2 linked regions of the Saccharomyces cerevisiae S288C genome follow. The protein of the gene in region 1 purifies or fractionates together with the protein of each later gene. This does not show direct contact. Each region holds a gene or a part of one and is shown in the gene's direction. Other genes may lie near its edges. The genes, in order: TIM11 and ATP20.

Region 1 (2,790 bases):
TAGCTAAATTGACCGACCTAAAGAGCAAAGCCGGATCTCATGGTTTTTAAAGGGATATCACCGAATTTCCTGGCGACTTATCTATTATGGATCTTGAAAATGTTTCATGTCCCATTTGTCTAAGGAAGTTTGATAACTTACAAGCACTAAATGCACATTTAGATGTTGAGCATGGGTTTAACGATAATGAAGATTCACTCGGTTCCAATGACAGTCGTTTAGTCAATGGTAAACAAAAAAAGGCCAGATCTGTTGATAGCAGTGCGCAAAAGTTGAAAAGAAGCCATTGGGAAAAATTCAAAAAAGGGAAGAGCTGCTGTCACACATGTGGAAGGACTTTGAATAACAATATTGGCGCCATTAATTGTAGGAAATGTGGTAAACTGTATTGCAGAAGGCATCTTCCTAATATGATTAAACTTAATCTTTCCGCACAGTATGACCCCAGAAACGGGAAATGGTACAATTGCTGCCATGATTGTTTCGTCACAAAACCTGGCTATAACGATTATGGCGAAGTAATAGATTTAACACCAGAATTCTTTAAGGTACGAAATATAAAAAGAGAGGACAAAAACTTAAGGCTATTACAATTAGAAAATCGGTTTGTCCGTCTAGTTGATGGTCTGATTACACTCTATAACACATATTCTAGATCCATTATTCATAATTTGAAGATGAATAGTGAAATGTCCAAGTTAGAACGTACAGTTACTCCATGGAGAGATGATAGAAGTGTACTCTTTTGTAACATATGTTCCGAACCATTTGGGCTATTACTAAGGAAGCATCACTGCAGATTATGTGGTATGGTTGTTTGTGATGATGCAAACAGGAACTGCTCAAACGAAATAAGCATAGGTTATTTAATGTCTGCAGCGTCAGATCTGCCATTCGAATACAATATACAGAAGGATGATTTACTTCATATTCCTATATCCATAAGATTGTGCTCGCACTGTATCGATATGCTATTTATTGGCAGGAAATTTAACAAGGACGTTAGAATGCCGCTAAGTGGAATATTTGCTAAATATGATAGCATGCAAAATATATCCAAAGTAATTGATAGTCTCCTGCCCATTTTTGAAGACTCATTGAATAGCCTGAAGGTGGAGACTGCCAAGGATTCTGAAAATACACTTGATCCAAAGAATCTGAATGATCTCGCTCGATTAAGACATAAATTACTCAATTCTTTTAACTTGTATAATACACTAACAAGACAGCTCTTAAGTGTAGAACCTCAAAGTCATCTAGAGAGACAACTTCAAAATTCGATCAAGATAGCTTCCGCTGCATACATAAACGAAAAAATCCTACCGTTGAAGTCGCTTCCGGCAATTTTGAACCCAGAGGGCCATAAAACGAATGAAGATGGGCAAAAAGCTGAACCAGAGGTAAAGAAATTATCGCAACTAATGATCGAAAACTTGACCATAAAAGAAGTGAAAGAGCTGAGAGAAGAATTGATGGTCCTAAAGGAACAAAGCTACCTTATTGAGTCCACAATTCAGGACTATAAGAAGCAGCGTAGATTGGAGGAGATCGTCACACTTAATAAGAACTTAGAAGAATTGCACTCAAGAATACATACCGTTCAATCGAAGCTGGGTGACCATGGGTTTAATTAAGACATATCTTTATTATTCGATCATTCGCGGAATCTCCACGCTAATTGGTCCGCGGAGCCAATCAGATCTATTTAAGGGTATAAATTTTTCTTTAGTTTTTTTGACTTTTCACACAGAAATTTTAGATAAAAGGAAGTATTATATCGGAACATAACGTATATAGGAACTAGCTGAGTGAGTTAAAGGATGTCGACAGTTAATGTTTTGAGATACTCTGCGTTGGGTTTGGGGCTATTTTTTGGTTTTAGAAATGATATGATTTTGAAGTGTAATGCTAAGAAGAAAGAGGAGCAGGCACAGTACGAGGAGAAATTGAAGCTGGTAGAGGAGGCAAAGAAGGAATACGCCAAGCTACACCCTGTAGTAACTCCTAAAGATGTGCCTGCGAACGCCTCATTTAATTTGGAAGATCCTAATATAGATTTTGAAAGAGTTATTCTTAACGCCGTTGAATCCCTGAAGGAAGCTTCAACATAAATAGAAGCTTCAACATAAATAGGATACTAAAAATGCACATTAGCTCGCACTGAATGACGAAGTTATGATGGATTCTCGTTCGCTAGATGTTCCATATTTTTTTCTTCATTCGTTAGTGCACAAACAATAAGGAAAAAAATGAAATGTATATATTCTAGAACATACTAATATCATACGTATCGTATTGTAAACAAAATTCACATTCCAAAAATTTTTCAGATTCTTACTTTATATTATTTGCATCAAGCTTTATTAACAATGACACGTTATTTTATATGTACAGGATACTATAATGTCATACTATTTAGGATCACCTTCTAACTCTGCTAAAAACCCTTCCAGGTGGTAGGCCATATTTTTCTCTGACGGCGGCGACTTTGGCATCCCATTCGCTTCTCCAGATATGTGCCCCAATAGCGGTTAGATTGTATTTCTTCGTAAATTGCCTGATATCAAAATCATCTCTACTTAGTTCCTTTCGGTCAATCTCTAACATGTTAGGACCTTGCTTATCCTCGATTAAGGGTTGTCTGAATACCCAAACAACGAATCTCTGTTTTCCAGCATTCTTTTCAGGTACCGGAGGTAAGTAGTCAGCGATAATATTAGAACTGTGGAACTTTCTTGGATCTATTAAATTGTCATTATAAGTCAAATTAATATTCACCAATCCGTAACA
Region 2 (3,132 bases), on another chromosome or scaffold:
CAACTCCGGTTATCCCTGATATGAAGGTAGCGTTTTTCAAATGCAACGTCTGCGATCATACAATGGCAGTGGAAATTGATAGAGGAGTTATACAAGAGCCCGCTAGGTGTGAACGTATTGATTGTAATGAACCCAATTCCATGTCACTGATTCACAACAGGTGTTCATTCGCAGATAAACAAGTCATTAAGTTACAGGAAACTCCAGACTTTGTGCCTGATGGACAAACGCCTCACTCTATCTCATTATGTGTTTACGATGAATTAGTGGATTCTTGCAGGGCGGGCGATCGTATTGAGGTGACTGGCACGTTCAGGTCCATCCCCATTAGAGCTAATTCCAGGCAACGCGTACTAAAGTCGTTGTATAAAACATACGTCGATGTGGTCCACGTTAAAAAAGTTTCAGATAAGAGGTTAGACGTCGATACTTCTACTATTGAACAAGAATTAATGCAGAACAAGGTAGATCATAACGAGGTCGAAGAAGTAAGACAAATTACTGATCAGGATTTAGCAAAAATTCGCGAGGTTGCGGCAAGAGAAGATTTATACAGTTTATTAGCCCGCTCTATTGCCCCAAGTATTTACGAGCTAGAAGATGTCAAGAAGGGTATATTACTTCAGCTATTTGGCGGCACGAATAAAACCTTTACCAAGGGTGGCCGTTATAGAGGTGACATAAATATTTTACTTTGTGGGGATCCTTCTACTTCCAAATCGCAAATTTTGCAATACGTTCACAAAATTACTCCTCGTGGTGTGTATACTTCGGGTAAAGGTTCATCTGCCGTTGGTTTAACTGCTTATATTACAAGGGATGTCGACACAAAACAACTTGTTTTGGAAAGTGGTGCATTAGTATTGTCTGATGGAGGTGTTTGTTGTATTGACGAGTTTGATAAAATGAGTGATTCTACAAGGTCCGTCTTGCACGAAGTCATGGAACAGCAGACTATTTCAATCGCAAAAGCGGGAATTATCACAACACTTAATGCCAGAAGTTCTATTTTGGCCAGTGCTAACCCAATTGGTTCACGCTACAACCCCAATTTGCCTGTGACTGAAAATATTGATCTACCGCCCCCACTACTTTCGAGATTCGATCTGGTCTATCTTGTCCTTGATAAGGTTGATGAGAAAAATGACAGAGAACTAGCCAAACACTTAACAAATCTTTACCTGGAAGATAAGCCCGAACATATTTCTCAAGACGACGTGCTACCAGTTGAATTTTTAACGATGTATATTAGTTATGCAAAGGAGCACATACACCCAATAATCACCGAGGCCGCTAAGACTGAGCTTGTTCGTGCTTATGTAGGAATGAGAAAGATGGGTGACGATTCGAGATCCGATGAGAAGAGAATCACAGCTACCACAAGACAACTTGAAAGTATGATTCGTTTGGCTGAGGCGCACGCCAAAATGAAATTGAAAAACGTCGTAGAGCTGGAGGATGTTCAAGAAGCCGTTAGATTAATTAGATCAGCCATAAAAGATTATGCAACAGACCCTAAAACCGGTAAAATCGACATGAATTTAGTTCAAACAGGTAAATCAGTTATTCAGAGAAAACTACAGGAGGATTTGTCAAGGGAAATTATGAATGTTTTGAAGGATCAGGCATCAGACTCAATGTCATTCAATGAGCTTATAAAACAAATCAATGAACACTCTCAAGATAGAGTTGAGTCTTCTGATATCCAGGAAGCCTTGTCAAGATTGCAACAAGAGGACAAGGTCATTGTCCTTGGCGAGGGTGTAAGGAGATCAGTTCGCCTGAATAACCGTGTCTGATGCTGTCTACTACAATCATTCCCTGCGTAACAATTAATAAATACTAATTAATTATAGCAAGTTTGTATTTTTTACATCCTTATGCTTTGTAACACTATTCAATACTGTATGTAGGCTCGATTGAGTGGGCGGCTTTTTTCTTATTCCTGATTGGCTGAAAGAAAATATTGTTAAACGCACTAAATTTATCCCGAAGGATGATTACATTTAAAGACCGAAAAATGAAGATGCAAAGATCCCTCATATTTTCTACTCCAGTCCAAATCGACAAGATAAACCTGCCGATAAATCATATTTCAGAACGCTAATCAATTCATCATGCTAAGCAGGATCCAAAATTATACCAGTGGGTTGGTTTCTAAAGCAAATCTTTTGTCATCAAAGGCTTTATACTATGGTAAAGTCGGTGCCGAGATTTCAAAACAGATTTATTTAAAAGAGGGTCTTCAACCACCAACTGTTGCCCAGTTCAAATCAGTGTATTCGAACCTTTATAAGCAGAGCCTAAACTTTGCTCTAAAGCCTACAGAAGTTTTATCGTGTTTAAAAAACATCCAAAAGAATGAACTATTAAAATATGGCGCATATGGTATTCAGTTGATAGGGTTTTATTCTGTCGGTGAAATAATTGGAAGAAGAAAATTAGTGGGATATAAACATCACTAAGCTTTTTAATTCTATCTATTCGCAAAACCCTTGTATATTCGTTAATTAAATTAAATCAATGTACAAATAGAACAAAACTAGAAAAAAGAATATATATTCATCTCAATTCTATTTATTTTCTTTTCATGACATACAATGGCATTAAAAGCGATATCGAGTTATATTACATTAGCTTCTTGCCGCCAGTTATTTATGAAATAGGCCAATATAACTTTTCTGTAAAAAAGAAAACTTGACCTCAGAGCTTTCATTACACTTATTAAGAACAACATACTTGTTGCACTATAGTAAAAACTACAGTGAAATTGATCTCAGGATCATTAGTAATTTTTCTCACTATAAGAAAAAAAAAAAAACATATATTTTGCTATGAATTATAATAAGTAAATATATACATATATATGTACAGAGAAACTGACGAAGAAAATAAATCACCCGTTAATGCTTCTTAGGTGCTCTTGAAAGTTTTTATAAACTGAAGAGTCAAACCTAGAAAAGTTATTGTCCAAATCAATGAATGTTTTCGCAATTTGACAGCTTTTATAGTAATAATTGGCATGTTTTCTATCATCAGAGTAAAACTTTTGCTGTGGGAGTTCACCGTTACTATGAACTACTGTCTCTTCATTGCCTGCGTCGTCATCGATACAAAATCTCTTCCTACCCT

Evidence for each region.
Region 2: the proteins of TIM11 (region 1) and ATP20 purify together in Saccharomyces cerevisiae (affinity purification with western blotting; 4 studies listed by BioGRID, with this or other methods). This does not show direct contact.

The regions. Positions count from the first base shown.
Region 1 is NC_001136.10:1,111,324-1,114,113, reverse strand, and holds TIM11 (F1F0 ATP synthase subunit e), read left to right. Parts: upstream 1-1,820; coding exon 1,821-2,111; downstream 2,112-2,790. Other genes in the region: PEP7 (phosphatidylinositol-3-phosphate binding protein), read left to right, coding at 87-1,634; mitochondrial 54S ribosomal protein mL38 MRPL35, read right to left, coding at 2,422-2,790. UniProt on the Saccharomyces cerevisiae protein: Mitochondrial membrane ATP synthase (F(1)F(0) ATP synthase or Complex V) produces ATP from ADP in the presence of a proton gradient across the membrane which is generated by electron transport complexes of the respiratory chain.
Region 2 is NC_001148.4:597,753-600,884, forward strand, and holds ATP20 (F1F0 ATP synthase subunit g), read left to right. Parts: upstream 1-2,117; coding exon 2,118-2,465; downstream 2,466-3,132. Other genes in the region: MCM DNA helicase complex subunit MCM4, read left to right, coding at 1-1,799; AGC1 (citrin), read right to left, coding at 2,897-3,132. UniProt on the Saccharomyces cerevisiae protein: Mitochondrial membrane ATP synthase (F(1)F(0) ATP synthase or Complex V) produces ATP from ADP in the presence of a proton gradient across the membrane which is generated by electron transport complexes of the respiratory chain.